4 linked regions of the Tamandua tetradactyla genome follow. The protein of the gene in region 4 interacts with the protein of the main gene of each other region in a pairwise test. Links are inferred from orthologs where the notes say so. Each region holds a gene or a part of one and is shown on either strand. Other genes may lie near its edges. The genes, in order: USP13, TNNI2, MYBPC3 and TRIM63.

Region 1 (7,801 bases), on a different chromosome or scaffold from region 4:
GTAAAATGTGCCCCACCTCAATCTGGGTGGATCTTACTCCTATTACTGGAGTCCTTTATAAGCAGAATGAAATTCAGACAGAAAGAGAGAGAAAAACCATGAAAATCAAGATACTGACAGCGGAGTCTGGAAGAGAAGGGACAGGCCACGAGAGGCCACCACGGGCACTGCCACGTGACAGGGAGCCCAGCGCCCAGGACCACTGGCAGCTGGCCCCAGAGTGCCAGTCTTGGAGAAGAAAGCATCACCTTGATGACACCTTCACTTGGACTTTTTTCCTTCCCTCAAAATCAGCAGCCATTAAATTCTCATTGCTTAAGCCAGCCCACTGCACGGGATTTACTCAAACAGCCGAGGAAACTAAAATATTACTCACTCATCTCAAAATAACTGCTATTGAGCACCAACATGCTAATCCCTAGAAGGTGGAAACAGAGGAAGGAGGGGAATACTGAAAAGAGTTATCACACTGTCGGCTCAATATTCAAAGCCCACAAAGGTGAAAAATGGCAAAAATGTGAACATGGTGCCTTAGACACAGTAGGTACATTGCAAAAAATCAGTGATACACAGTCTACCTCCATACCACCTTAAACCTACTACCCACACTAGCTTTCAATAACTGATACATAAAATTAAGATCCTTTTCCAGGTATGCAAGACACCCCATCATCTACTCTCCACTTCTTGTTTCTTGCCAAATCAATCTTTTTTCTTTCAAATACATTACAGGCAAATAACAAGAAAACATTCACATTTTATGCATTTGCACGTGTAAGTTTTCCCTGCCTGGAAGGTTGGGCTCCTTTATTTCTAGCCATCACTATCTATGATCTTCAAAAACATCCACTGCAAGAAAGTTGGGGGATTTTTCACTCAACTAGTCTCGATCTTTTCTCAACCAAAGTTCCACAGTCCCATAGCACTTGTGGAATAAAGTTTCTGGCATGTTTTGCACCAATGGATTTTGCTCTGTGAGGTTCTTATAACAACGCAGGTACAAACTGGCACAAAGCAGGGGCTCAAGACACCCTACTAGATTCCTGACAAAGTGTTAAGTACCACAAGGAAAGACCTTGCATTATCACGCACTGTGCTTTAAGCAAACTTGTTATAAAACCTTCCCTCTCTTCCTCCCTTAAAACATAAATAATGAAATATACTGATGCACTGGCTTTGTAAATAAATCCAGTCACCTCCAAGGAACTATTGTGATATGAGGGAAAATATTTTATATGAGACAAGATGATTCCAAAATAGTGTTTGACACATGGTAAGCACCAATAACTATTAGTGGAAATGAATTTTTTAAATTAGCGTTCTCTCACACCTGCCACACACTATGTGGTAAAGATTCCCAAAAAGAAAGTTTGTAAGCAGAACTTGAAAAGCCAACCAAACCAAATGTAGAGAAAGTAGTTTTGCTAATTTTACACACTGTGCTCTCCTGAACACTCAGTCCACTTTCTTCTTCCTGAAGTTCACAATTGGTCAATTGTTTAAGTTAGGTGGGACCATTATCCCTCTTCACCCTTAGGAGTTGCTGGTGGGAAGACACCCAACACTGGAAACAAAATCTCAAAGTGTCACTTTCATATACTTTGTTGATAACACGATTTAAAGGCACTGCTGACAGTTGTCTTATTAGTACCACCACTATATATTAAATACACAAGGCATTAAATACAACCATTTCACTTCATTCTACATGGATCTCTTTGAAAGAAAAAAATAATTAACAAAAGGTGAGATTTTATCACCAAATGATCTGGGATTCACATAAAAGAAAAGCTAAACATCACAGAAAGGATACTAATTCTGGGGTTCCAATATACCAAAGAAAATTGCTTGGAAACCAACCAGCACCAACTCACAAGATAATAAAGAATGCTTTGGAAAATGTGTCACTCATTTGTTTTTGCTTTTACTTTTTTTTTCCCCCTCCAATGAGGGGGAAATACATAATATGAATAAATGTGTTGAACTATCGTGAAGTCTCAGTCGTCGCAATCAATGCACCTCCAAACGCTCTGGGATCTGCTGGGCGACACATGAGATCTAAAGTGTGTGGATAAAAATAACCCGGTCCTCAAAAAGACATGAGAAACGCCAGACAGCTGAGTCACTTGGAAGCCCATTTTGACTTGTGAAAGGAGCATTCACCCTAGGTCTCATCACACTCACACGCGCACGCACGCGCGCGCGCACACACGCAGCTAAACCCACCGCCAAGCGCCCTGGGTAGCGGGCGGTGATCGAGCCTCACTTCCCTCCAGTCTCTGAGGTCACGACTTGGGATTGAACTTTTAATCATTGATATTTGTGCATATCAGTTCCAGCGGCCTCCTTTTTAAGGGGTGAGGGAAAGGCCTTAATGACCCATTCGACCCCGCAATTCTGCTGGAAAGGAGGTGTGGAGGGGAAGCGGGTAGTGGAGGCAGCCCCCGCTCCCGGGGTACCTCAGACCCGTCCCGGAGTGGGGAACCTTGGGCCAAGCGCCCCGTCCCAGACTCAGGGCAGGCTATGTCCGGGGTGGGGGTCAGTCTCTGCATCCACCACCCCCAATCCTCGCCTGAGGGCGCGTCCCCAGCAGCGGGAATCTCTCACGCAGCCAACCTCACTGGGCGGGCGAACTGCGGCGGGGACGCGGCCCGGGCCAGAGGAGGCGCCCGCTCGGTACTGGCCGAGCCGCGGGGCCCTAGCCCGGCCAGCGCGCGGAGGCGAAGGTCCCCGGCCGCCCCGCGCCCTGCTGCCGCCGCCTCCAGCACCACTGCCCCGGGCCCCGTGATCCTTCCACGTACCGGGGAGTCGTAGGAGAAGGCACACTCGTTCTTGTAGACCCGGTCCCCGGACCTGGGCACGCGAATCGTGGGCATATGGGGCACCAGCAGCTCGCCCAGGTCCCCCGCAGCCATCTTCCTGCCGCCCGGGATGCCGAGCAGGGCACCCCGCCGCTGCATGCTTGCGCCGAGCCGAGCTGGGTCTGCCCGCGCCGTGGAGCGGCCGGGCCCGGGCGGGCGGCCGGAGCGGAGCCGGGCGGGGAGGGCGGCGATGGGCGGGAGCGGGTACCCGGGCCTGGGGCGGGGAGTGGGGGGGACGCTGCTATTTTTACTCCAATGGCGGAGCGCCGGCCCCGCTGCGGCATCGGGCGGGGCGCGGGGTGGGGGGGCGCCGGCCGCAGCGCACCGGGGAGGGTGCGCGGGGGCCTGAGAGGGTCTCCGCTAGGCTGTGGGGGACAGAGAGGGACGGATGGGGACTAGGGGTCTGGTGGGGGGTGGAGGGCGTACCCAGAGCCTTGGCACGGAGGAGGAAGCTGGAGGGAGCCCCGGAAAGGAGACCGGGGGGCTGCGCCCCCCAACATCTCAGGGCCGATCGCGGTCTTCTCTGTCATAAACCTCAGGGTGACCGGGAATACCTCCGAGGCAGCCTCCACAAGGAGCGGCATCTGGGGGTCTTTGAAAAGGCTGATTTTCTAAACGGCCGAAAATAGGAGCCGGGTCTTGGTGGGCCTGGGTAGGGATGGAATTCGCTGTGACGATCCAGAGTCTAACGTAGCAGCCCAAATCCACATCTGCCTGGTGCACCTCGGTTTTGCCTCGCCAAGCATTGTTCTTCACTTAAAAAAAAATCCGAAGCTCAATAAAAGAGAATAGAATAAGATCTGATGAGAATAGAGGCATATTTTGCATTAATAGACGTTTTTCTTGCATTTTGGGGGGAGTGGTTTTTTGCAGGGCGAGAGAAGTTTTTAACTAAAATTTTCTCTACCTTTGGAACGTCTTACGCGCGTTTCAAGGTCCGGGTTTAGAACTTTAATGGCCAGATCTGGAGTCCTATGCAGAACAGTACATATAGAACTGCCTTGCTCTTTCCGTTTCCCAAAATAAATAATGAATGGGTTTGGACTGGGAGGTTAGATATTTGTGAACAGAACATACCACACAGCATGCTCTCATTTTCTTTAAAAAAAAAAAAAAAAAGACTTTAAACTATGGGTTCTATTCTGTAACTACACTCAACTTACATACAAAGCGGAATACTATTACTCTACCAGTGAACAAAATTCAGAAATAGCAAGAAATAAAGTACACCAAAACACTGATTTCTATAAGCCTGTCCCAGATCAGCTAGTCCTTAAATTCCTCTTTCCTTTACATCATTTTTCTTTTACTCTTCCTGACTCTCCAGATCTGTGGGTTTCCTAGGAAGAAAGAGTTACCTGGAGTTTAATAGTACATAGACAGGCCAGCTTTCTCTTGCCTTGCTCCCTGTTGCACTAGTATTATCCCATCTTTGCGCAGATACTCTGAACCAGCTTTTATTTTGAATTTATTCTCACCAGCATATTACCTTCTAATAGTATCAGCACCTGCTGCAAGTTCATGGATGAAGAGTGCTTATTCAATTACAGAAGAAAACTTGATTCAAAACATTCAAAACTTGAAGTTTAAAATACTTTGAGATTAAATGTAAATTAAACCAATGAGACACATTTTTCATCCTTCAGGCTGATAAAGATACACCAAGTTGGGAAATGTATCCATCCTCAAATACATCGATGGAAGGAGTGAAAATGGTAAATCTCTTTGGTAGGAAATTTAACAAGACCAATCATACTGTATGTGCATATACTATTTTCCCCGCAGTTCCTCATCGGGACATTTATTCCACAGGTAAACTCACACTGTGTAGGGGTATCTGTTGGTATTTGTTCATAGTAATGAAAGAATGGGAACAATGTAAAGAGCTACCTGTAAGACATGGGTAAAATACAGTACCATTGAACAGGATGAAGGCACTCTGAATGCACTGATATGCAGAATCTCTGGTTACATTATTAGGTGAGAAAAGAGAAGTGCAAATCAGTGTGTAAAAGCAAGATACGTGCCAGGCTGGGGATATGCAGAAGAGCCTCTGGTACATCTTCTATACCAGGGACCTTTCTTTCAATTGTACAATAAGTGAATTAAATTTAATTTAATATTTAATTAAATTAAATTAAAATTATAAACATTGGCCCCCGATGTGTGTGTGTGTGTGTGTGTGTGTGTGTGTGTGTGTGTGCACGAACCATGCTGTTTGGCCAGGAAGGATACACAAGAAACTAGTGCAGTCAGCCTCTGTGGAAAGGAATAGGAAGGCCAAGGTTAGAGGGGGACTTACTACCACTCTCCTTTCCTGTACTGTTTACATTTTTATCATGCACAAGTATCGCTTTGAAAAATGATTAAAACTCAATTGTAAAAATAATCCAAGTTCAATACCTAGTAATATTAATAGAAGCTGAAGACAATTGTAGCATCATTATTAAAGTGCTTATAATGGCAAGCATGGAAAATGGTGATATTTGTGCAGCTCTCGGGAGGATACTTCTTGAAGCTGGAGGCTATTCGTGTGCGAGTGTCAGTCACTGCAGGCCAGGCAGGGGACTGGAGTCTCATCACAGCTGAATCCCATCTCTGTGCAGCAGAACTCCAATTGCACAACAGTTGGAAAATTCTAGGGAAAAATGGACCCCGTCTACTCAAAGATGTTTCTACAAATCTTAGAAAATATCCTTATTAAAATTACCATTTTCATATATTTGTAGTATGTTAGTTTAAAAAGAAACTTGCACAATAGCATAGCAACTGGGTAAAGGTAAACACACATGTTGAGAAGTCTGAAAAGACATGTACATATTTAATAGTTAGATTTAGAATTTGGTTATAGGATTTTTTTTCTATATTCCAATGTCTTCAATAATGTTACATTTGTTTTATAATATAAAAATGTATCAAGGGCGAGCAACCATGGCTCAGAGGCAGAGTTCTCGCCTGCCATGCCGGAGACCTGGGTTCGATTCTCGGTGCCTGCCCATGCAAAAAAAATGTATCAAGACAAAAAAGTTAGTAAAAGAAATATCACAGAATTAAGAGATTAAGTCTTAATCATGACATGTTTAGAGAAAAAAATCCCATTCCAACTACTGAATATTTTTACTTAATTTTTTAAGTTGCACATATGATTTATAACCAGATATTTTACTACTGGAACGGTTTCTAATGTGGATCTTGATCAATGAGCAAAAGTGAAGTAAGGATCAGTGAACAATTTTAACTTCCAACATAAGTTTAAAGAGATTTCAGAGAGCCTAAGACTAAGAACTGCATTTTTGCCAGGTTGAGATGTCCAGGCCACCACATGCTTTACTGGCCAAAGCCTCCTCCCCTAGTGTGCAGACAGGAGCCCGTGCACTCGAGCACCTTTCCAGTCTAGTACTCAGCTGTCCTTCAGACCTTACCCTCTATCCCTACACTTCTGGTAAGCTTGATTTACTGTCCCCTAAGAATAGATATATTTGTCTCCTGATAAAGGCCTTTCAAAGCTTAGTATTTATGTACTTGAAACTGTGGTATACCCCAGAACCATGTTCTTTCATCCTGACTCAACATTATTTAGGGTGGGACACATTGATTAGGCTGTTTCACAGAGATGTGACCCACCCAGTTGGGGGTGGGACTTTTAGATTAGGTGGTTTGCATGGCAATACATCTCCACCCATTCAAGGTGGGGTTGCTTATTGAAGTCCTTTAAGAGGGAACCATTTTGGAAAGAGCTCAGAGTCAAGAGAGACAAGGACAATTTGGAGATGCTTGGAGTGCCAACAGAGAGAGCAGACACCTTGGCACAGATGTGTGGAGATGCAGAGCCCAGCAGACATCACCATGTGCCTTCCCATGATATGCTAAGCAAACCAGAAGCCAGAAGGATCTATAGGGGCTGAGTGATCATTTTGAAACCAGAAGCCAGGAAAGAATGCAGATGCCAGCCACGTGCCTTCCCCTGTGACATGTGGCCTTTCTTGACTCAAGGTATCTTTCTCTGGATGCCTTAATTTGGACATTTCTATGGCCTTAGAACTGTAAGCTTGCAACTTAATCAATTCCGTTTTTAAAAGCTGTTCTATTTCTGGTATATTGCATTCCAGCAGCATTTAGCAAACTAAAACAGTATTTTTTCCATTAACCCTCTTCTGACTGCTCCAACCCTCAGTGACCTATTGTTAAAAATTGCAGCCCCTCTTGCCTACACCAGTTTTGGGATACTGCCTCGTGACATCTTTTGTACTATATTTAATTAGTCTTGGTTCCATGTCTGATCCCTCTATCTGGAAAGCAAACTCTGGAAGAAGTTACATTTCTTGATGTGACTCATGAAACCTTGTACATTGGGGGATGCTCAGTGTTTAGGAATATTGCCTGCCTGGAGTGGCTGTGCTCTGTTTATTTTCAACGCTAAATAAGTACCAAATGAAGGACTCGCATCAGTGATCTTGTAATAGATATATTTTGCAACCTACTTTGTGTTTTTTAGGTAAAATTCATTGCTGCACAAATATTATTCCAAGAACTGATGGAGGTTAAATTAAAATATGACATGAATATGACTAAAGCCATGAAGGGGAATTTGAATAATGGGAAAACTCGAGCTCAGATTTCTTCCAATAATGTGCAGTGATCTGGTAAAGTCATATATGGTAATAGCTTATTGTGGAGGCAGATCCATAAAATTCTGTATAAGGGCAGATAGCCTCCGCATGTAAAACAATAAGGCATTGGTTAAGAAATGTATGGCATTTCCTGTTTGAAAGAGTTCTATAAAGCCTTTTAAAATCATGTGGTATAAGAATATGCATTGACATGGAAAAATGATCACTATAATACAAACTTCAAAAGCAGACTGTAAATGAGCATATATATACTATTATTCCATTTAAGCACAAATGCACATATATACATATTCATAGCATGGCAAAAAG
Region 2 (7,441 bases), on a different chromosome or scaffold from region 4:
GCTGGGGGCATTGACGTGGCTGCCGGCCTCTGACTGCATCCCGGGGGAGCAGCCTGGGGGCAGGGGGCTGGGGACCCTGTATCGTGGGAGCGTGTGGCCATCTCCCGCCCAGCTGGGGCCTCCTGGGGCTGTGCCCTGTGGCAATGGACAGGGCAAATGGACAAAGGGCTCACCTGGGGAAGCCCGCCGGGTACACGCCACCAGCCCCTCCCATGGCTACCTTGCCGAGGACACGGTGGACACGGCCTGAAGGGGTCCCCCTGCAGCTCGGTGCAGCCAGGGGCAGGCTCCACCTGCAGGGTCTTCCTGGGCGCCCCTGGACCCGGCGGCTTGTCCAGTCCCAGCCCACATGGGGGGGCCTCCCTGGCGTGGCACTGCCCCGTGCTCAGATCAGCGTCTGACGCCTGCCCAGGCCTGACACCCAGGGCGCCAGGCTGAGGAGTCAGGGCCGGCAAGGGTGCCCTGAGGGCAGGCGGGGACTGTGGGCAGCGAGGGACCAGCCATGGGTTCGCATCCTTTATTGACTTTTGGGGTGATACCCCTGCCACTCCGTGGGCGCCGCAGGCCCCTGCCCGCCGTGTGCCCGGGGAGCGGGGTGGAGACAGGGGGCCTAGGACTCTGTCTCGAACATCTTCTTCCTGCCCTCCATGCCCGACTTCTCCTCGATGTTCTTCCTCCAGTCGCCCACGTCACGCAGGTCCCGCTCCTGGGGGCGACGGGGGGCGACTCAGGACCCCACCCCACGGGGGGCTCAGCCAGCAGGGGCCAGGCAGGGTGAGAGGGAGGAGTGAGGTCCAGGTGAGACGGGGTCAGCCCCAGGTGGGGGGGATCAGTCCCAGGTGGGGGGGATCAGCCCCAGGTGAGAGGAGGTCAGTCCCAGGTGAGAGGGGTCAGTCCCAGGTGAGAGGGGTCAGTCCCAGGTGGAAGGATCAGCCCCAGGTGAGAGGGGTCAGCCCCAGGTGAGAGGAGGTCAGCCCCAGGTGAGAGGGGTCAGTCCCAGGTGGGGGGGGATCAGCCCCAGGTGAGAGGACGTCAGTCCCAGGTGAGAGGGGGTCAGCCCCAGGTGAGAGGGGTCAGCCCCAGGTGAGAGGGGTCAGTCCCAGGTGAGAGGGGTCAGCCCCAGGTGAGAGGGGGTCAGCTCCAGGTGAGAGGGGGTCAGCCCCAGGTGGAAGGATCAGCCCCAGGTGAGAGGAGTCAGCCCCAGGTGAGAGGGGGTCAGCCCCAGGTGGGAAGGGGTCAGCCCCAGGTGAGAGGAGGTCAGCCCCAGGTGAGAGGGGGTCAGTCCCAGGTGAGAGGGGGTCAGTCCCAGGTGAGAGGGGGTCAGCTCCAGGTGAGAGGGGGTCAGCCCCAGGTGGGAAGGGGTCAGCCCCAGGTGAGAGGAGGTCAGCCCCAGGTGAGAGGGGGTCAGTCCCAGGTGAGAGGGGGTCAGTCCCAGGTGAGAGGGGGTCAGCTCCAGGTGAGAGGGGGTCAGCCCCAGGTGGAAGGATCAGCCCCAGGTGAGAGGAGTCAGCCCCAGGTGAGAGGGGGTCAGCCCCAGGTGGGAAGGGGTCAGCCCCAGGTGAGAGGAGGTCAGCCCCAGGTGAGAGGGGGTCAGCCCCAGGTGAGAGGAGGTCAGCCCCAGGTGAGAGGGGATCAGTCCCAGGTGAGAGGGGGTCAGCCCCAAGTGGGAGGGGTCAGCCCCAGGTGAGAGGAGGTCAGCCCCAGGTGAGAGGGGTCAGCCCCAGGTGAGAGGGGTCAGCCCCAGGTGGGAGGGGTCAGCCCCAGGTGAGAGGGGGTCAGCTCCAGGTGGGAGGGGGTCAGCCCCAGGTGAGAGGGGTCAGCCCCAGGTGAGAGGCCTGGGCCCCGGCGGCGCCGGCGGACGCACCTTCTCGGTGTCCTCCTTCTTGACCTGCTTCAGGTTAGCCCGCAGGTCCATGCACACCTTGTGCTTTGAACCCAGCAGGGCCTTGAGCATGGCGTCGGCCGACATGCGCACGCGCCGCAGTGGGGGCCTCTTGAACTTGCCGCGCAGGTCAAACAGCTTCTGGTTCATGTCCTCCAGCTGCGGGGGGCGGGGGGAGCTGAGTCCAGCGCCCCGTGACCCCCCGCCCCCGCCCCTGCCCCTGCCCGCGCCTCACCTCCTTGGTGCTCTTTTGGACCCTCATCTCCATGTCGTACTTCTCCTCCTCGGCGGCGTCGATCTTGGCGTGCAGCTGTTTGCAGAGCTCCTGGGGTGGGAGACCAGGGGGTGGGCCCTGACCCTGGCCCTGACCGGCCCCAGCCTCTGGCCACCTGCTTGGCGCTGCCCCTTGGCAGGTGGGGAAACCGAGGCAGTGGGCCGGAAGGTGGTGGCGGCGCGGGGCTGGGCGCGGGGCGGGGTACCTGCACTTCGGACATGGAGCCGGGGATGTGCAGGGAGGGGCAGTGCTCGGCCAGGTAGTTCTGCTTCTCGGTCTCCCGGCGGCCCTCCTCCTTCTCCAGCTCCGTGGCGGCGATCTGCAGCATGACGCTCTGCGGGGTGGGGTGGGGGGCGCCGTGAGGGCTGCAGTCCCTCCCGCAGGCCCCGGCCCCCTCCCCAAGCCCACTCTTACCTTCAGGTGCTGCCTCCTGGCCGTGATGGCCCTGTTGCGTTTCTGTGGGGGGTCAGGGGGCGGGAAGCAGGGTCAGGGGCTCCATGGGGGGCCGGCTGAGCTGGAGGACCAGCCAGGACCTCCAGGGCACAGGCCTGGCCTGCTGACCCCGTCTAGGACGGACAGCCAGGTCCTAAGAACTTGGGGGGTGGGGGTGGGAAAGGCAGGTGAGGCACAGGGGAGGGGTGACCCTTGCAGGGCCTGGGGGGGTGCGATTCCTTCTGAGAAGCCGGGCCACAGCCCCCACTTTCCCTGCCCAGGAAGGCCCAGGCTGCCACTTCCTCTGTCCCGTCAGGGCCGGTGGGGGGAGGCTGGCTTCGTCTCTGTGCATCAAAGACTTGAAGCTCTGACCTCTGACCTCCACGGAGTTGGGGTCCCAGCGCCCCCCCACCTCTCACTCCCCTTCTCCAACCAGGTACTCACCTCCTCACTGTCCGGCGAGGTCGGGGTAAGAGAAGGAGAGGAGAGAAGGGAAAGATCGGGTCAGGCCAGGCCGGTGGGGAGCAGGAGAGGGTGGGCTGGGAGAGGGTGGGGTGGGCAGGGGTAGCTGCTGGGGAGATGCAGAGACCCCACCCCCGGGCATCGCGCTGGGCACCCCACTTACTCCCCCATCCTGAGATCGTGAGCTCAGATCCTGTGTGGAGAGAAAGGCAGGGGTGTCAGGCCACAAGGGTACAGCCGCCAGGCCAGCAGTGAGGGGGTGCCGCTGCCCCCCTTCCCACCCCGTGCTCCCCCTCCTCGCTCCCTCTGCAGAGGGGGATGTCTTGGAATTCCCCGGGGTGGGGGGTAAGAGGAGAAAGTGCTCCCGAGATGCCCAGGGCAGGGCCTGGAGGAGCTGCAGCTGTCTCCGAGGGGGGTGTGGCGGGGGCACCCGGGGGGGGGGCCAGCACAGGTGGCCGCCGAGCAACAGATATTTTTAACCCCGCTTCCTTGGCTACCGGCCGAAGTACAAGAAACTTGCTCCCCGATTCAGCTTGGGGGCCCAGCTCTTGGGGTCCCTCGACCCTCAAAACCAGTGTCCCCAGAAGTGAGATCAGACCACCAGGGGCTGCCCGGACCCCTGCCCCGCCCCGCCAGCATCCCCAGGTGTCTCTTCCCCCTGCGTCCCACTCTGTGGGAGCCCCCTGAGGGGCTGCTGGCCGCGGCCCCCAGGCCCCCACCCAGGGCGTCCTCCTGCAGGCCCGCCTGAGTGCCGCCCGCGGCCTGGCCTGACCGGCCGGGCAGGGCCTCACCGAGAGCCTGTGCTGCAGAGCTGGGAGCAAGGTCTGGCGGTGGCGAGTGGGCTGGGGGGCCGGGGAGGGTATAAATGGCCTCCCCCCAGCCAGGCCCCCGCTCGGAAAGGGCATGTAGCTGCCCCAGGCCAATGGGGACAGAGAGAGCCGGCGCGCGGCCCCCCAGCTGCCCGGGCCGCGGGCTGGCCACGTGCTGCCACCCCATCCAAGAAGTCTTGGTGGGGGGAGCCGAGGCGAGCAGAGCTATTTAGGGCCCAGTGACGAGTCCGAGGAGCCTTCGCTGTTCTCCAAGGAGCCTGGGGACACGGCGCACGTGGCTTTGCTGGCCACCTCGCCGAGGCTGGACACACGTGGGGCCGCACAGCCTCGCCCCAAGTCAGCCCTGTCCACCCTCACTCGGGGTCCCGATCACACTTTGCCCCATGGCCTCTGTCCGGCCCATGGCAGGGGACTCCCGGTGGCGTGTTGTCCTGGGGGGCCCGCCCCCCAAAGCCTGGGCCCTCAATGGGTTATGTTCCACCACAGCCCACCGAGCCCCGCAGCACAGCTGGCCGGCGACCCCTTCTCCAAGCCCAGCTCCCAGGCTGGACCCCCAAACGCGGCCTCGGGCCTGGGGCCCCGGCGGGGGGCTGATATCACCTGCCCGCCCTGGGAGCAGGGGCCAGGCCCCCAGACATGCCTGCTGAGCCCCCTCCCCAGCCGTGCTCGGTACGCCCAGCCTCGGCCCCACACCTGGGCGGCTCGGGACACGTCCTCCGAGCCTGGGAGCACGGGGAACCTCTCCCTGACCCCGGGGCCCGCGCCACCGCCCCCCGCCTGCGTGACTTGGCACCGTCTGCGCGCTGCGGCGCGGCCCGCCCTGCCGGCTCGGGGCTTCTGGGGCGTAGGCAGGATCCGAGGCGGCGGGCGCAGGAGGCTCTGCAAACCCTAAAGCTTCCAGATGTGCGGGATTAGGAGGCCTCGGCCCCCGGGCCCCCGCGCCGCTTCCGAAGGCCTCTACTGCCCCCTGCTGCCTGCGCGGGGCCCAGGCGCCTGGGTGGGGGGGCCCTCCCTCCGCCACCACCCCCCACCGCCGCCGCCGCCCCCTTGTCCCCGCGTCTTCGCGGCATCCCACCCCCTCCCAGGGCCGTGCCTGCCTCTCCAGACCCTGCAGACATGCCCGGAAGGGGCAGAGAAGGGTCTGGGGACTTTGCGGCCCCCACCCCAGGGTCAGGCCTGAGATAGAAGCCCCAGGGCAGACTCAGCCTGGAAGGGAGAACCTCCCTGCCCTTGGGAGGGGGCTGTTCTTGCAGGGAGCCCCCTCCTCAATTCTGTATTGTCCCCCAGGGCTCAGGAAGGACAGGCAGTGGAGGCAGCCGGAGATGGCGTTTATTCGACCAGGTCCGCCAGGCCTGGCAGGGGAAACTGAGGCTTGGGTGCTCTCAGGAGCGGGGCAAGGGGAGGCGCCCGCGGGGCCTCAGGCCGAGGACCCGGTCTACCTCGCTGGGGGGCCGCAGGCGGTGCCACTGGGTGCTGGGGCGCCGGGCGTGGGCCAGCATGTCGGCCCAGTGTTGCAGGGGCTGGCCGGAGGCACGGGCACCCAGCAGCACTTTCCCCACGGGCTCGGTCCGGAGCTGCGGGCCACGGGCGCACACGGCCAGCACCAAGTCCACGCCCTGTGAGGAGGCGGCCATCAGCTCGGCCCGGGCCGTGGCCCCCGCCCGCCCGCCTCCCCGGGGCCCACCTGGAGCTGGGCGACGGGCACGCGGAAGGCAAAGGCCTCATTGAAGTAGGGGGCGGCCGTGGCCCTCCTGGCGGACGTTCTCCGCTTCTTCCAGGGCCTCTGGTTCAGCAGCAGCTGGACCTTCACATAGGGCGCTGGGCGGGCACGGAGGGGCGGGGGGCACTGGGTCAGAAGCTGGCGCAGGGTGCTGGGGCCTCTGCCCACCCCACGGGCTGCACGGGCCTCACCTGCCAGCCCCGGGCCCAGGCCGCGGGCCTCCAGCACCAGCACGGTCAGCCGGCCCGCGCTGGGCACGTACCTCAGCGAGAAGCACAGCTCGCCGCTCGGCTCCGGCTGCCAGGGGCACGAGGGGGTCTCAGCGCGGGGGGCTCCACCGCGCGGCCCGGGCCCCCTGCCTGCTCTGCCTCCCCCGGGCCCCCGTGGCCTCACCTCGACGGTGCCCGGTGGGCCCAGCTCGTGCCAGCGCTCCAGGACGTGCCGCAGGTCCACCGAGGCCAGGGGCAGGCGCAGCTCGGCCAGCGGCGTGTGCGCGGAGAAGCGCCGGGAGGCCAGGAGCTGCACCAGCAGCACGGTCCGGGGCAGCGCGGTCGGAGGGACCTGCGGGGCCGGTGCGGGGGGTCAGCGGGGTTCCCTGCCCGGGCCTGGCCGCTGCCCCCGCCGGCCGCGCCCCACCTGGAAGCTGCAGGTCTCTTCGAACACCGGGCTGAGCGTGCCTCGGTGCACACGCGTCTCGTGGCTGGGGCCAGCCGGGGGGCACAGGCTGACGCGAGCGTAGGGGTCAGCCGTGTGGCCGGAGCCTGGGGCCTGCAGGCCAGTCGCCTGCTTCAGGCCCACCCTGACCTGGGAGAAACGGGGGGGTCTCAGCGGAGGTGCCCCCTGCCCCAGCCCGCCCTCCCCAACCGCCAGCAGTGTGGCAGAGTGGGCCCTCACCTCCTGGCTCGCAGGCTGGTACTCCAGGGACAGCTGCAGGCGCCCCCACTGCTGGAGGCCCCCCAGGCCGGGCTCTAGGCCATCCACATCTGGCTGCACCTGGGTTGGGGAGCGGGGCAGGAGCAGGGGCAACCGAGTCTGCTGAGACACTGCCCCTGTCCAGTCCCAGACTCCAAGGTAGCAGCTCCCCCGTGCGGTTCGAGGCACCCCCCCACACACCACCACAGGGCACCATCAGGGCTCACTGCCGCACCTCAGCTCCGGGAGACCAGCCAGAACGGATGGATCTGCCCCAAACAGGGCTCCGGTTGCACCACTACCTCCCTCAAGAACCTGCCATGGCTCCCCATGGCCCACAGACCAGCTCCCGGTTCCAGTGCCCAGGGCCCTCGGGCTCTGCCCCAGCCGCCTTCCCGGTTCTCCCCTCCCCTTGGCGCACCTACTTCTGCCCGCTGACCCGCCCCCAGCCTGAGCCCTGCCAACCAGGCAGCTGGCTGGCACCGGCCGGGCACACAGCGCTCCTCACCGCGTGGGCAGTGGTGGCACCCCTGGCACTGCCCAGGCTCACAGTCTCCTTGTCTCTGGACTTTGTCCTGGGGCGGCAGCAGCGACAGATGACACAGAGGAGGCAGGAGACGATGAGGACGCCGGCAGCCCCAGCAATGGCAGCGAGCACCCAGGAGGGCCCTGGGGAGTGCAGAGAGGGCCTGAGCTGCCCCCACAGACGGTCACCCCCCTACGCCCGGCCATCCCCTGCCCCTCTGGGGTCCCAGGACTCACAGGGGATCCAGGGGACGAGGGCTGGAACGGACCCGGGCAAAGCTGTGGTGTGAGCTGGGGGCAGGGTGCCGGGGGAATCGGGTGGGGGTGCCATCTTCCTGCCCTCCTGGCCTGGAGGAGTCAGCCCAAGAGCCGGGGTCACCTATGTGGCTGCCCCCTCAGGGCCC
Region 3 (7,854 bases), on a different chromosome or scaffold from region 4:
GCGCCGGCGGCCAGGAGGTTTCTCCCCACCCCCCACCCAACCTCTGCACGCTGCGCACAGGAGAAAGGGGGTCCCACTCGGGGGCCAGCAGGGCGGGCGGTCAGGGGCCCGGGCTCCAGGCCGCACCCCCGTGGGCTCCCGCCTCTCGCTTACCTCGTGCCTGTGGTGACGGACGTTCTGCTGGATCCCTGAGGGCCCCTTGAGCCCTGCCCCCCACCCCCCAGGGCTGTGTTCTGGGCTCTCCACACCGTCCTGTCCCCCCGCCATCCCCTGCACCCCTGCCCCCAGCCACCCCCCTGTCCTGCAGCCCGTGCCCCTCCCCAGGCCACCCCTGTGCCAGGCCCACCTTGCTGGCGCGGTCATAGCTGTCGCGTAGCTGCAGGTGCTGGCCCACCTTGCTGCTCAGGTCCACCCACTTGCCCTTGAACCACTTGACCACAGGTGGTTTCAGGAGGCTGGCCCCAGCCACGCGGGCTGAGAAGGTGATGCTGCCGCCTGCGGGGAGGGGGCCCAGCTGCCGTGGGGGGCCCGGCGGGCATGGGGGCGTCTGGCTGCCTCCCTCCCCGCCACACCCTTGGGTGCAGCTGCCCAGCACTCACCCGCGGTCACCTCACCATCCTGAGGCCGCATCACAAACAGGCCAATGGGGTCATCGGGGGTGCTGGGGCATCCAGGGGCAGGGCTCTCGGGGGCAGCCGAACTTGACCCTGTGAGCAGAGGCCTCTGGGACCTGCCCTGGGACATCCTGCAGCCGGTCCTGCCCTCCCTGCAGCCCCCTCACCTTCAGGCCTTGCAGAGCTTCCTTCCGGCTCAGCAGCCGGGGCCAATGCCCCCCCCGGGGCTCCCGGGGCCTCAGTAGCAGCTGGGGCGATCTCTGCCGTCTCTGGAGGGGAGCAAGTGGGGAGCAGCTCCTAGCCAGAGACCACCCCACACCCTTCGGCCCTGCCCCAGTCTCTGCAGGCTCCTCCAGAGTAGACAGGGCTTCATCTGTCCCTCCCCTTTCCTCCTTCCCCTCCATGACACTTCTCACCCCTTGCTAGCTCCCTCCCCTCCTCTCTCCTCCCGTCCTCTCCTCCTCCTCCCCTCCTCCTCCCCCTTTTCCTCCTCCCCTCCTCCCCTCCTCCTCCCCCTTTTCCTCCTCCCCTCCTCCCCTCCTCCTCCCCCTTTTCCTCCTCCCCTCCTCCCCTCCTCCTCCCCCTCTCCTATCCTCCCCTCCTCCCGAGCACCAGGCCAGGCCTCTCCTGCAGATGATGTCCCATGCTGGGCTCCTGTCCCTGCTGCGTCATCTGGGGGGGGGGGGCGGGGAGCTGCCGGCCCCTGGCTTCCCTTGCCGTTGTCTACCCTCACCCACTGCAGGTCTGCCCTGAGCAGCTCCGGGGTCCGTCTGTCCCTTCCTTCCCTCATGAGGCTGCAGCCTCATCCAGCTCCCTAGCTGGAAGCTCCACCACAGGCTACCAGGGGCTTCCCTGCTGGCCTGAGGCCGGTTCCCATGGGGCCCCCAGAGGCGGCTTGTGCCCTTGTGCCTGGTCCTCCCTGCAGTGGGTCCTCCCCCGGGGGCATGCCCAAGCCAGGAGCCCTGGGGTGCTCAGAGCGGCTGGGCCACAGAGAACAGGGGCCCGCACCCTGCAGGGGGGAGGTGGCACTGCCCTTGTGCCGGGAGGTCGACCTCAGGGACGGGTCTGCCCTTACCCGCCTCTGTGACCTTGAGGTCAAACTTGACCTTGGAGGAGCCGGCGATGACCGTGTAAGGGCCCTGGTCGGCGGGACCCACGTCCCGCACTGCCAGCGTGTGCTTCGTGCCCTCGGTGGCCAGGCTGTACTTGTCGCCCGTGCTGATGTCACTGCCTGCCCGCTGCCAGCGCACTTTCAGGCCCGCCCGCTCTGTCTCGGCCTCGAACACGGCAGTGCCGCCCGCAGCCACCTCCGCTGACTGGGGCTTCTTGCTGAAGGCCGAGGCTGAGGCCCAGACGGGGCTGAGGGACGCCCGGACCCCCCCCCCCCCCCACCGGCCCCCACCAAGCCTGGGGAGAGGCCCTGGGCACGCGTCCCCCCATTTAATGCTCCTTCAGCTCCAGGAGGGGGGCAGCGCTTAGGTCCCTTTCCCAGATGAGGACATGAGGCTCAGAGGGGTTAAGGGGCTTGCCCAAGGTTACACAGCCAGTAGGCGGGAGAGCTGGGGGTGTGGTCTGGACCCCCCACAGGCCAGTCTGGGTCCCCAGGCAGGGGCAGGTGCTCAGGCTGCTTGGAGTATGGCTAAATTTATCCTCCAAGGGCCTGGGGCTGAGAGTCAGCAACTGAGATAAAAAGTTGGCCTGGGGTGGGGAGGGGTGGGACACAGGGTGCCTGCCCCAGTGCCCTTGGTGGGGGCACAGGCCGGGACCAGGACCTGGGAGGTTGGGGGCCCTGTTCTACCCTCAGCCGGGGGCTCCTGGGGCCCCATGACCATCAGCCCAGAGTGGGGGCCATGCCCAGTGTGGAGGTCACAGGGCTGCAGAGGGAACTGCTTAGCTGGAAGGAGGCTTGCGGGCCTCCGCCCATCCCCTCCTTGTCCAGATGGGAAAACTGAGACCCAGAGAAGGGGGGAACCCTCCCGCCCGCAGCAGCCTTTCCCACCAGGCCAGGCCTCCCTCCTGAAAAAGGTCCCAGATGGGGGAGGGCACCCTGGGACTCAACTCCCCTCTCTGTGCTCCAGCCCTGGGTCCAGCCTCACCGTCCCCTGAAGCAGGAAGGGACCTGAGCCTCAGGAAGGGGCCCGAGGCCTGTCGAGTGTTGCATTCCCCACCTCCTCGGGAGCCAGCTCCTAGCCCTGCCCCCCAAATGCAGACACCCCACCCTCCCTGCACCCCACTCGAGCCCAACCCCGGCCTGGAGCTACCTGGCTTCTTCCCTGGTTCCGGCATCTTGGGAGCGACCACAGCAGGCACCGAACAGTCCCAGGCTGTTCGCAGAGGGATGGCGGGCAGCCCCCGCTATATAACGGCCCCGTCACACTCCCTCCCCCGGTCTCCTTATCAGCCTCCGAGCAGCCTCCCGCTAAATATAGACAAATTCCAGGGAGCCCAGGTCTCTCTCGGGGTGGAGAGGGCAGTGGGAGGGTCTGGGCCATTGTTCCTTTCCTCTTCCCCTCCCCCAACACAAATAGGACAGCTTCTGTACCCCAATCCTCAGTGCCCTCAGGGGTACCCAAGCCCAGTCTGTGTGACTATCTGACAGGCAAATTGAAGGTGGAAAGTGGGCTGGACCTTAACCCTGAGGCCGGCAGGTGGCTGTGTGACTTGCCAGGCAGTGAGGGGCCGGGTGGGACAGTGGGGGGCCAGGTGGGACAGTGGGGGGACCGGGCGGGACAGTGGGGTCTGGGTGGGGCAGTGGCAGGGGTGGGGGGAGGGGGTCTGGATGGGGCAGTACCAGACCAGATGGGGCAATGTGGGGCCGGGTGGGGTAGTGGGGGGGCAGTTGGGGGCTGGATGGGGCAGTGGGGGCCAGTGGGGGACCGGGTGGGACCGGGCGGGGCCGCACTGGGCTTTGTGGGGCAGTGGGTTGGGTTGCCCATGGCTGGCACGTGCCCTGAGGTGGGCAGCCCCCGAGCCTGGCTCTGCAGTCCCCAGCCTGATGCCCGTCTGCTTCACCTGTAAAGCGGGGCTGGATTGCCAGCCGGTGTGGGCAGCTCCTCCGGTTGGGAGATTGGAGATGAAGGTGCCCGCAAGGCACTGGGCTGGAGAGGGGGCAACACTGCAGGCGGGTGAGGCCGGGGCGACTCTCTGAGTTGAGCTGAGCCCCTGGGTGTCCCCAATCTGTGGTCCACCCTCCAACGGGGCCCCCAACCCTACTCCACGCGGAGAGAGGCGTGTCCCACGTGACTCATCCAAGCGAGACCGGGGACCAGAGAGCAGCCCCCGCGTGGGGGCGGGTACGTGAGGTGTGGGGGTGCTGCAGGTGGCCGGGCTGCTCCTGCCCGTGGGCAGCCACCTTCGGCCCCCCGCGTTGGGGGCCTGCCCTGACTTGGGGGCTGAGCAGAGCGGCCCTCTAGGGGCCCGGGGCCGGGGGGCCCTGTCGCTGCCGGGCCTGCCCGTTGTGGCCTGTGACCCCCTGGTGGGGGCGCTGGGTGGGGCGCGGGGAGCTGCCACCCGCGCCCTGGGGGGCCTGTTGGGCGCTGCAGCTGGGATGGGCCCCCCCGAGGCTGTGTGGGGGGGGAAAAGTCGGGAAAGCCCAGGCGGCCGGAGACATGCGCCGGCCAGGTCGGGGGGCTTTGCGACCCCCAGCGGCGGGAGGAGCCCCGGGGGCGGAAGGGACGGGCCGCCGAGCGCCATGTTGTCCACGCGGCCGGGGAGGCCCCGCCGCCGCCTTCCTGGGCGTCCCCGCGGCTGCGAGCTGAGCGGGAGCCGGAGCCGGAGCCGCCCCACGGCCGCCAACCCGGCGCCTCCTGTCCGGGGCCCGGGGTTCCAGCATGGCCGCCCGCTGGCAGCGTGATCTTGGCCGAAGCATCTGATCTCTGCCTGCCTCCGTTTCTCCCACTGCGCGGTGCGGCCTCATCAGCATCCGCCTCACACCATGGAAAGTGCAGCGACGCTGCGGCCATCGTCACCCGGGTGACGGGCTCCAGCCCCCGAGGGCTGCTAACCACGACTCATACAGTAGGGAGCGAGGGCTCCTGCTTCCCAGTAGGCACGCCCGGGCCTGGGTTCCGCCCCACGCCGGGCCCCAGGGGGCCCCCTATCCCCCAGGCCTGGACCCCCGGGCCCCAGTGGGCCCCCTATCCCCCAGGCCTGGTCCCCCCGGGCCCCAGGGGGCCCCCTCCCCCCAGGCCTGGACCCCCGGGCCCCAGGGGGCCCCCTCCCCCCAGGCCTGGTCCCCCAGGGCCCCAGTGGGCCCCCTCCCCCCAGGCCTGGACCCCCCGGGCCCCAGTGAGCCCCCTATCCCCCAGGCCTGGACCCCCGGGCCCCAGGGGGCCCCCTCCCCCCAGGCCTGGACCCCCGGGCCCCAGGGGGCCCCCTCCCCCCAGGCCTGGTCCCCCAGGGCCCCAGTGGGCCCCCTCCCCCCAGGCCTGGACCCCCCGGGCCCCAGTGAGCCCCCTATCCACCAGGCCTGGACCCCCGGGCCCCAGGGGGCCCCCTCCCCCCAGGCCTGGACCCCCCGGGCCCCAGTGAGCCCCCTATCCCCCAGGCCTGGACCCCCGGGCCCCAGTGGGCCCCCTCCCCCGAGGCCTGGTCCCCCACCTCCCCCCCCCCCCCCCCCACCCCGGGCCCGGCGGCGCACAGGACGCTGAGGCGGGCGAGGCGGCGGCGGGCTTTATAACAACGCTGCGCGGGGCTGGCTGAGAGTCCCGGCGGTCACTCGCGAGCCCTGCGGGGGCAGGTGGGCAGCCCGGGGGGGCTTCGAAGGGACCATTCGGTGTCCACGGGGCCGAGGCGGGGCCGCCCGATCCCGCGCCCGGGGCTGGTCCCGGCGGGCGGGGCGGGCGGGGCGGGGCCGGGGGGCTGCCGGGGCCCGCGCCCCTCCCCGTGTCCGGCGGGCGAGGGGTTAATGCTGTGGCCGGGGCGGCGGGCGGCCGCGCTCAGTGCGGGGGATGGCGGCGCTCGGCCAGGCCGCGGCCCAGCACCTCGCCGCTGAACTGGTAGGTGAGCTTCTTCTTGACCTTCTTCACCTCCCCGGTCTTGCCGTAGTTGCGCAGCGCGCGCGCCATCTTCTGGTACGTCATCTTCTTGCGGTTGCCCTTCTGCACGCCCCAGCGGTTGGCCAGCTCCTCCTTGTGCTTGGACGAGAACTGGAAGGTGCCCTTGTCCTTGTCCACCCACCAGATGCTGTCCTTCATGTCGCCGCTGCGCAGCAGGTCCAGCAGGAACTGGTACAGGCGAATCTTCTTCTTGCTGCCTGCGGGGAGCAGCGCGGGCGGGCTGGGGGGCCGGGCCCGGGACCCTCCGCCCCTCCCCCCTGCCGGCCCCCTGGGGTAGGACGGGGCGCGCCCCCCCCCGCGGGTTCAGCCCACACACACAGCACAGACGCGCATGCATGCTCACACACACACACTCGCGCGCGCACACACGGCCCATGAGGACACGCTGGGAACTTGTGGGGACCCCTTGGCACATATCACATGCCGCCTCCCCTCCACCCCCCAGGCACCGTGCCCCTCGGCCTGCTGGACCTACCTGTCTCCCCGTGCAGGAGGCCAGGCCCTGGCTCCAGGCCATCAGCCTCCCCGTCGGATACCTCCAGTGGGGGGCTCTGCCGCTCACCCTCCTCCTCATCGGAGCTGGGCTGGGCCGGCGAAAGGGAGGGGTATGGGAGGCACATCCGGGGCAGGTAGGAGACCTGGGCAAGTGAGGGCAAGTGGGCTGAGGTCGGTAAGGGGCAGTTCAGAGATCAGGGCTGTGGGCAGCACTGAGGCTGGGTGGTCAGCAGAGGGCAGAAAGACTAAGGGGAGGCAGGGAAAGCTGGACGTCGCTCAGGTCAGCAGAGGCGACCAGGCCCCCCATGCACAGGGGTGCAGACTGTGCACTGCACAAGGGCGTGCAGGTCCTCGGCACTCACCAAGCTGAGCTTCCTGCTGAGTGGATGAGCGGGTTCCAGGGGCTGGGAGCAGGAGGGCTCAGGGGCCAGTGGGTTGGGTTAGGACTGGACAGACTTTAGTAAGTGGCGGGAAGAGTGAGTGAAGGACGCAGTGAGGTCAGCGAAGGCTTGTAGGGGTCAGTAGAGGTTACTGATGGGGACAGAGTCCATGGGGCCAAGTAGGGTCATCAAAGGGGTCAGTGTGGAAAGTAAAGGGTGAGGAGAGCCCAGCACTCAGCACCCTGGACACCACACCCTTGGGGGCGCCCATCGATGGAGGCTGCTGGCTGGGAGGGGCAGAGCCATGGGGACTGCCTGGAGCCTGGCCACCCGTGGGCCGAGAGCTGATGAGGGGTGTGGGATCGCCAGGCCGGCCGGAGGGTCCCAAGGCCGCTGGGGGGGGGGGGGGGGCAAGAAGCAGTGTGGGGCACGAGCGCGCCGGCTCCTGTGTGCCCTTGGCCTGGGCGGGGCAGAGCTGCGCACCTGGTGGCTGAGAGTGGCATGGGGCGGGGCCATGGGCGCGTCCAGCACGTGCATCTGCTCCAGCTCCATGTGGCGGTAGAGCTGCTGCAGCTGGGGGGGCTGCACGCTCTGCAGCTCCGTGAAGTGGTTCTCGGGGAAGCTCTCGAACTCGCTGTGCACATGGTGGGGGTGGAAGTCCCAGTAATGGTCTGCGGGGGGCAGCAGGGGGCGCAGTGAGGCCGGGGCGGGGGTGGGGGTGGGGGTGGAGGCAGCGATAATGAGACACAGTGCCACGCGGGGCCCTCACGGGGCCAGGCCGGGCGACGCGCCTGCCTGCCGACCTCACTCAGCGTACACCCCATCTTGGGAAGTGGGCGCCCCGCTTCATAGATGACCTGAGGCCTGGGGAGGCCGCAGAACGTGCCCAAGGGGCCCAGGTCCGAGGCCTATTGCCCACATGGCTGCAGGGGCGCAGACTCGGGCCCCCCGCTGGCCTGCTGGGGTGGCTGACCCTCCTAGGACATGGGGCTAGCGGTTACTGGAGGATGTGCATGAACTCGCGCCTGTGGAAACTTCCAGCAGGGACCCGGCCACTGCCTGCCCTCGCCTGGTGCTGCCCACCATCCCGAGCTGCTTGCCGTCCACAGGCGCAGGGGCGTGTGGCCTCCTCCCGTGGCTGGGGTGGGCCATGGCGGTGCCCGGGCGCCAGCGAGGTCCCTGGGATGTGAGTCCTTCCTGGAAATTCCCCTGCAGCGGTGCTTCCGGCCTGTGGCGGAGTGGCTTAGGGCTGGAGCCACATGCCATGTCCTCTCGTGATGAGGGCAGGGCCTGAACGTGGGTTTCTGG
Region 4 (7,010 bases):
CCTCAAGTTCTTCAATAAGCCCCTTTGCATACCTTGTCTTTCTGCATCTTGAGCCCAGGTCTCCCATGCTGAGAAGGATCTCCCTTTGCCATCTGTTTCTGTCCCTGGGGAAGGGAGCACTGGGATGGCTGAGAGGAGGCACAGGTCCTGTGCATGTGGTGCCTTGTGCCCACCACCATCCCAGATGCCCAGGCTTCAGCATCTGGGTTCAAATCCAGAGTGTTCTGCCGCTTATCTGTCTCAGACCAGTGATTTCACCTCTCTATTGGGATCATGGCAGGAGTTGTTTATAACGAATGGGTCATGCCTGGCACAGAGCAGACCCTCAATGGACGGCAGCTCTCACTGTCATATAACTGTGCAGGAAGGTCTTGAAGGGGTCAAGAACAGTGTGTCCTTCATAGTTAGCCACTAAGTAGTATTTTGGCATGATAGTGGTTTTATCAACAGTCTGCTTATATTTTTAGGGTCATGCTCTATCACCATGAGAGCCCATCTAGCAGAGGGCTAGGAGTCAATCAATCCAGGCTTTCTCTCAACTTAAACCCTTACTAGCTATGTGACCTTGAAAAACCTCTGCACCTCTCTGAGCCTCCATCTCCTCATCATAAAATAGAGGTAAGAATGCCATGTACATAAAGTATGGTGCCCACACCGAGTAGGTGCTTAGTAAATAATTTTATTTATAAATCAAATAATAAATATTTGATATATATATATTTTTTACCTTTCCTATTGTTTTCCTATTTGATAATCACAATAGTAGGTCTTATTGTCCCCTTCTGCAGACAAAGAGAAACAAAGCCCTAAAAGCCAGTGACTTACCCGAGATCCTACAGTGTGTTAGTTTCAAGTCAGCCTACAAACACAGTGCCCAGGCCAGGGCCTTTCCTCACTGGGCCTGCTTTGTCCCCCTCCATCGGGGAAGGTCCTGCCCTCAGGCAGGTGCTCAGTAAAGGTTTTAGACCATAATGGCAGCAGGTCAGCAACCTGGAAACTCGTCAGGATGTCCTGATTTGTAAAGATCGCTCCAGCTTGAAGCCTAACACCACACGTCCTCCTCTGTTCACGGACAAATTGTGCCTGAGACTGGGCTGTTGTTTTATAAACAGGGAGACTCAGCGCTCTATGGCCCAGGCCCACTCCTAGCTCTTCCAATGCCTAGCCATGAATTGGAAGCATGACCTTGGGGAGATGACTTCAACTCTCTGAGCCTCAGCTTCCTCATCTGTGCAATGGGAATAATGAACGCTGCGCCTGGTGCATAAAACTGTGGTGAGGCCCCAAGGTGTGGCATGCCTGGTGCCCAGTGAGGGCATCCAAGGGTGGCTGCTGCTATCAGGAGGGAGAATCTGGCTGCCTTCTCACCGGACACTTTTTCTCTGCTTATTTGGGTTATTTTGCAGGTCCCAATGCCTGTCATTCCTTGTCACCTCTCATCTTTCCCCTGGTTTCTCTCTCAGTCTCTCCTGCAAGGCAGCCTGACCCCTCCCCATCACTGAGCTGGGGCATGGGCCTCTGTCCTTCAGCCTGAGGGAAATGGCCCTTTGGACTGGCTTAGGTCCCAGCTGATGGAGGAGGAAGGAGCCTGGGCGAGCTGTGCCCGGCATGGCTGGGAAAGGAGGGCGGGATCCCAGTAGCCCGGAGAGCTGACCTGGAACACTCCTGCTTGTAGATGTCGATGATGTTCTCCACGAGCAGATTCCTCTGCAGACCGTAGACTCCGTGGCGGTCCATGACCACCTCGTGGCGGCAGGAGGGACAGCGGAACCGGCCTCCGGACATGGACACTGAGCTGCCCCGGCCAGTCCAGTAGGGATTTGCGGCCTGCAGATGGCAAGGTGGAGGTGGGCCTGGGCGCCTTCCCAGCCCCTTCCCTAACTCATCTCCTGTTCCCCTCCCCCTTCGCCCACCCCAGTCATCCCTGCCAAACCCACCCTGAGATGAGAACCAGCCCATCTTACAGACGGATCATCTAAGAAGCAGCTGAGCAATCAATAGGTAAGCATTGGCTTTGGGAATCCACAGAACTGGGTTCAAGCCTCATCTATTCTCTGAGTAATTTTTGGCCAAGCAACCTTATCTCTCTAAGCCTCAGTTGGACCATTCATGAAATGGGCATAATCAGTAGAACAAGCCCCTATGGCTTCTACTTTGAAGATAAAACGGTGAGAGGGCATTTTGCAAAGTGCTCCTGGGGAACCCAGAATCCTGCCCCCCAAGCAGGACGTCTACTTCCATTCCTTCTTTAGGGAAACAGAGCGCCCCCCCCGGCCTCCCCCACCTTCATATTATAAGGAACAGCCTCAAAAGAGAAGATGCTCTAGTGCCCAGTGCCCCCTCACGCCCCTCCTCCCAAGGCTCTGGGCCCCCTGCCACCGCAGGCCTGGCTCCAGCCCCAGGGGTCTGTTTTCTCTCTCTTCTCTGCCTGCCTCCCCGACTTATCACTTGAGGCATTTGACTCTTGAGTGGAGAGTCAATTGCCACGCTCAGGGCAGAGGTGGGGAGGAGAAGCAGACGTCCCGGAGAAGGACCCGGGCAGCAAGAGCTGCCTCCCCACCCCGCCCCACCCAGGCCGACATGGCGGGGGGGCCTCATTTTGGGGAAGAAAGAGCCAGAAGACTCATTTTCGAGAGGCAGGAACCAGCCTCGGTCCTGGTCGAAGGGAGAAAGTGTTTTATCACAAAGAAGCCGAGCGGCCGGCACTGACCTGGAAGATGTCATTGGCACATTTCCGGCACAGGTTGTGCTGACACGGCAAGATGACCACCGGCTTGGTAAACATCTCCAGGCAGATGGGACAGATCAGCTGCTTCTCCAAGTTCTCCATCGGGTTCCCATCCTGGATCAGGTTTGACTTATAATCCATGTCGTCGGTGATGTGGGAGCCCACTTGGCTGCCTCCTTCACCCGCACCTCACCCCAGGCAGACCTGGAGCCCTGGCCTTTGTCACAAAACACCCACCCGGAGCCCCTCTGCCTCCTTCCTCCGGCGCCCGTGTTCTGCCTTGGTCCGAGCCCCTCTGATATTTATAGCTGGGCCCCAGTCACATGAGCCCCGGGAGAAGACCAGCTGAGCATCCCCATGCCAGGCTGCTGGCGGGGCTTGAATTTCCTCCAGGCCTGAGAAGCTCGCCTTCTCATATCACGTGTGGGGATGAGCAATCTTTGTCCCCTGGGATGGGGGTCGTAAACAAGAACAGCCTGTTCAGGGGCTGGCTTCCGGGAGGACTGGGGACCCAGTGTCTCATCCAGGAATTGGTCGCCCCACCCCCAACTCCGGGATGGTGACTAGGGATGGGACCCATCCAGTGGGCCACTGGGATTTGAGGGGTTAATGGCCGATGGCCCCCCCCCCCCAAGGACAGGAGAGTGACCTTCTGATACACATCAGGTCCAGACCCTCCTCTAGAGTCTTGGGCAGCTCCCAAGATGAGGGTCAGGGCAAGCCCTCTTTCTGAGCCCATCCCTCTGCCTTCGACCTGAGCATCGCATTTTACTGGAGACTTTGATGACTCTCCCAGTCCCCCCATCCCTTGGCCGCCAAATCTGCTTTAATGCTACAAGGGCTTCCTCAAGGTGCAGTTCAGTCCTCTCATTTTTCAGATTGTGAAACTAGGCTCCAGGGATGGAAAGGGCCTTGTTCAATGTTACTTAGAGAGTAAGTGGCAGTGAAGAACCTTATCCATGCAAACACTTGTCTGAGCACTTACTCAGGTGCTAACTAGTAAAGGTGACAGATGAGTAATTCTTTTGCCTGACCTGTGAGGCTCACAGCCTAGGAAGAGAGCTAGCCACAAAGTCCCTGCCTAGATATTTAGAAGTGATTCAGATGCTCCCCTCTATTCTCTGCACAAATTTTAATTTTTCTCCCTGTCCTTCTGGACACCTTTCATGTTGGCAGGTAGAAGTCATTTGAGCAGTTCCAATGTCTCTTTTTAGGGAAGCGCCTCGAGAAAAGCAATGCTGGAGCCATCCTGGGGTGGGAGTGTGGGTGGAGTATCAAGATGAGAGCCTAAGAGGTCGAGGAACTTACAGGGGGTGTGTCCAGGGTCTCAAGAGAGAGATTCAGCAGAGTTGATTCACTCACCTCAGCCTCCAGAGGATTTGGTGATTGGAACCAGGAGATAAGACCTAGAGAGTGGTGAGGGCAGAGGAACCAACCTTGAGAAAGGGAGAAACGAGAGGGACAAGGAGGAGGAGGAGGAGGCAGGAAAGAGAAAGAGAAGATAGGAAAAGAGGAAGAAGAAGAAAACCCAGTCGGAAGAAGAAGAGACCTAAAAGAAAGCAAGAAAATTTTAAGGAAAGGGTAGTCCCCGTAAAACGTTAATGGCTAGTTATTGCCAAGCACTTCCTATGTGTCAGGCACTTTGCTGAGTATTATTTCATTCTAAGATCTCAATGGCAACAGCGCAAAGAACCATTATAAACCCTATTCCACAGGTGAAGAAACTTGGGCACAGAAAGGTACAGTAACTTGAATGAGGTCACAAGGCCAGCAGAAGGTGGATTTAAGACATGAACCTGGATATATTGGGAACAGGAGCTCAAGCGCCTCATGTCTTCACTGAACTGTGGTTCAGCACTGCCAGGCCAGCGGGGGGACAAAGGATGATGAGGGTGGGAAGAGACCATCCCTTCTTCCTTGCTCACGAAAGTTCCGTTCACGCACAGGCAGCACCGTGCCTCTCCACTGCCATATGAGACAAATCATGAAAGATTCATGCCTAACATGGTAATCCCATTCCCCTCTGCCTAAGGGTATACAGGTAGCTATGCTAATGAGACTCAAGGTCAAGTCTGCTGGGGGAGGGGGAATAAAGGAAAAGATTTGATACAAATTAATGTGTAAGGAGAAAACTTCCCTCTTGCCTTTGAATGGGGTGGTGAGAGGATGGAGCAGCTATCTTGCAACCATGATGAGACAAGCCTGAAGGAAAAAGAAATCAACACTCTGAGGATGGAAGAGAGGAGCTAAAGAAAGCACCTGGGTCACAGGTGCCTTCCGTTGTGTTGCCCATTTATACAACTCTGAAGGTGTTAACGATGTGAAATAACACATCATTGTAGTGTGATTATTCTGTTGCCTGCAGCCAAAAGCATACTATATGCATTTATCTTTCCAATTCCTAAAATGCCAGCGATTCTCAGATCTCTAATTCCAGTCCGGACTACTCTCACCTCAAAGCGGCAGATGTTGAGGATCTCTATGGGGTCTCAAGATCACTTCAAATTCACCCTATCCCAAACAGAACATATCATCTTCCCCCACACCTAGCTTCTCCTTCGGTTTTTCCTGTCTTGCTGTGCTGTCATCGACCCATTTACACAAACCAGGAAGTTGGGAGTGATCTTAGGGCTCCCCCTTCCCCCCATTGCACACCTAGTAATATGGGTCAGGCAGGGATCCATCTTTGTGTCTCCTTGGTCATATTGCCATCACCTGTTTGTAAGTGTGACACTCCCTCCCGTCTTTGAAGATTTTGAAGGCAAAGACTGTCTTTGTTCATCTTTGTATCCTTAAGGCCCAGCTCTCAATAAATAATTCTTAAATGAATGAACAAGTGAATGAGTGAACGAATGAATTAAATAAAGGGATTGCAAGGTCACTGTCAGGCTTGGGGGAAATTAAGTACTTGAACAAGGTTTTTGGTGGAGATAGTAGAGCCAGAGGAGAGAGAGAGCACTGGAAAGTGGGAAGGAGAGCTGAGGGAGTACATCCTAGAGTCTTGGGAAGGAGCTAGGAAACGGTGGAGGAGAGAATCAGAGGTGTTGAGAAATGGAGAGAAAGGTGCTTTTATATGATGACCTTGGTCAAAAGAGAGTTGAGGTCAACTCCTTGATGCTGACGCAGAAGGAATGTCAGCATGAGAGGGTGACGGAAAAGGTTTGGGCTGGTCAGTGGGAAACACAAGAGGAAGTGCCCTAGAAACCAGTGGAAGGAAAGTCTGGGAGCAGAAGAGCCTTGCTGATGTTTCCAACACAGATTTGTCATTTGTGAGGAGTCATTCGCACGGTTCTGTTGACTTCCCACCCACACTTGGCAGTCCAGACACAGAAGCTGAGCAAATGGACAGTGGGCTCAACTCCAGCCTGGGGGTTGGCAAGCCCAGCAGTGCTGAAAGTCAAGGGGTGAGAAGGGAAATTCCCACATAGGCCATGACTTGTCATTTAATCTTCACAACAGTCCTGTAGGGGAGGTATTATGATCTCCATTTTCCCATGAGGAAATGAAGTTCAGAGAGTTCATTGGCTTGGCTGGTCACCCAGCCCCAAGTGGCAGAGCTGAGAAAGGGTTCACATCCAAGGTAGCCTGACTCCTAAACCTGTGCTCCTCCCATTGAAACATTTATTGAGTGCTTACTGCATGCCAGGCATTGTGCTAAGCCCTTTGCATTCATCATCTCACTCAATCCTCAAAATAACTGAGTGAGACAGAGACCATGATTTCCCCTGTTTTTCAGCTGAGTTACAGAATCTCAAAGGGATGAGACTCTTGGTCAAGGGCTCCTAGCCAGTCAAAAGCTGAGTCAGTATCATTACCATTTATTAGAATGATAAGATCTTACACGTGGCAATTTGTTGTTTTTGTCTCATTGGTCCCTTCCTTCCTTCTGCGCCACTGATTAATCACAGAGTGATTTGGGGGCATTATGATTCTCATTTTTACATATCCAGAACTGAGATTCAGAGAGGTTAAGTAACTTCTGGAAGGTTCCCCAGCTAAATAACAGGCATCTCATTTGGGACTGTCTCCAAAGTCTGTGCTGCTAGTGGGGGAAGGTGTAGTGCCCTCAGGGGCCAGACTGGGTGGGAGGCAGGCAAAGTATGAGGGAGAATGGTCTGGGCCTGGCAAGCAAAAGGGAGACATGGAAGGAAATCATCACGATAGTACTATTTTTTATTAATTTAGCACTTGCAAGTGACTGGACATCTATCGAGGGCTCCCTGGAATTATTTCTTCCAGTCCTCAAAATCATCGTGAGTAGGGCATGCCTATTATCCCCATT

The links.
Region 1: the proteins of TRIM63 (region 4) and USP13 interact in a two-hybrid assay, tested with the Homo sapiens proteins (2 studies listed by BioGRID and IntAct). The link is inferred for Tamandua tetradactyla from reciprocal best matches to the Homo sapiens genes TRIM63 and USP13.
Region 2: the proteins of TRIM63 (region 4) and TNNI2 interact in a two-hybrid assay, tested with the Homo sapiens proteins (2 studies listed by BioGRID and IntAct). The link is inferred for Tamandua tetradactyla from reciprocal best matches to the Homo sapiens genes TRIM63 and TNNI2.
Region 3: the proteins of TRIM63 (region 4) and MYBPC3 interact in a two-hybrid assay, tested with the Homo sapiens proteins (2 studies listed by BioGRID and IntAct). The link is inferred for Tamandua tetradactyla from reciprocal best matches to the Homo sapiens genes TRIM63 and MYBPC3.

What each region holds. Positions count from the first base shown.
Region 1 is NC_135331.1:78,118,560-78,126,360, reverse strand, and holds the start of USP13 (ubiquitin carboxyl-terminal hydrolase 13), read right to left. Parts: upstream 3,010-7,801; 5' UTR 2,961-3,009; coding exon 2,802-2,960; intron 1-2,801. UniProt on the Homo sapiens protein: Deubiquitinase that mediates deubiquitination of target proteins such as BECN1, MITF, SKP2 and USP10 and is involved in various processes such as autophagy, endoplasmic reticulum-associated degradation (ERAD), cell cycle progression or DNA damage response.
Region 2 is NC_135335.1:1,875,151-1,882,591, reverse strand, and holds TNNI2 (troponin I, fast skeletal muscle), read right to left. Parts: upstream 2,703-7,441; 5' UTR 2,571-2,702; intron 2,491-2,570; 5' UTR 2,485-2,490; coding exon 2,362-2,484; intron 2,208-2,361; coding exon 2,118-2,207; intron 2,042-2,117; coding exon 1,865-2,041; intron 707-1,864; coding exon 611-706; 3' UTR 504-610; downstream 1-503. Other genes in the region: SYT8 (synaptotagmin-8), read right to left, coding at 5,263-5,496, 5,565-5,698, 5,792-5,897, 5,994-6,161, 6,237-6,404, 6,495-6,593, 7,021-7,181, 7,275-7,368. UniProt on the Homo sapiens protein: Troponin I is the inhibitory subunit of troponin, the thin filament regulatory complex which confers calcium-sensitivity to striated muscle actomyosin ATPase activity.
Region 3 is NC_135334.1:124,087,187-124,095,040, forward strand, and holds the start of MYBPC3 (myosin-binding protein C, cardiac-type), read right to left. Parts: upstream 3,013-7,854; 5' UTR 2,901-3,012; coding exon 2,876-2,900; intron 1,957-2,875; coding exon 1,690-1,956; intron 884-1,689; coding exon 782-883; intron 708-781; coding exon 600-707; intron 496-599; coding exon 347-495; intron 1-346. Other genes in the region: SPI1 (transcription factor PU.1), read right to left, coding at 5,552-5,868, 6,147-6,309, 7,030-7,217. UniProt on the Homo sapiens protein: Thick filament-associated protein located in the crossbridge region of vertebrate striated muscle a bands. In vitro it binds MHC, F-actin and native thin filaments, and modifies the activity of actin-activated myosin ATPase.
Region 4 is NC_135328.1:200,139,010-200,146,019, reverse strand, and holds the start of TRIM63 (E3 ubiquitin-protein ligase TRIM63), read right to left. Parts: upstream 3,009-7,010; 5' UTR 2,870-3,008; coding exon 2,711-2,869; intron 1,828-2,710; coding exon 1,655-1,827; intron 1-1,654. UniProt on the Homo sapiens protein: E3 ubiquitin ligase. Mediates the ubiquitination and subsequent proteasomal degradation of CKM, GMEB1 and HIBADH.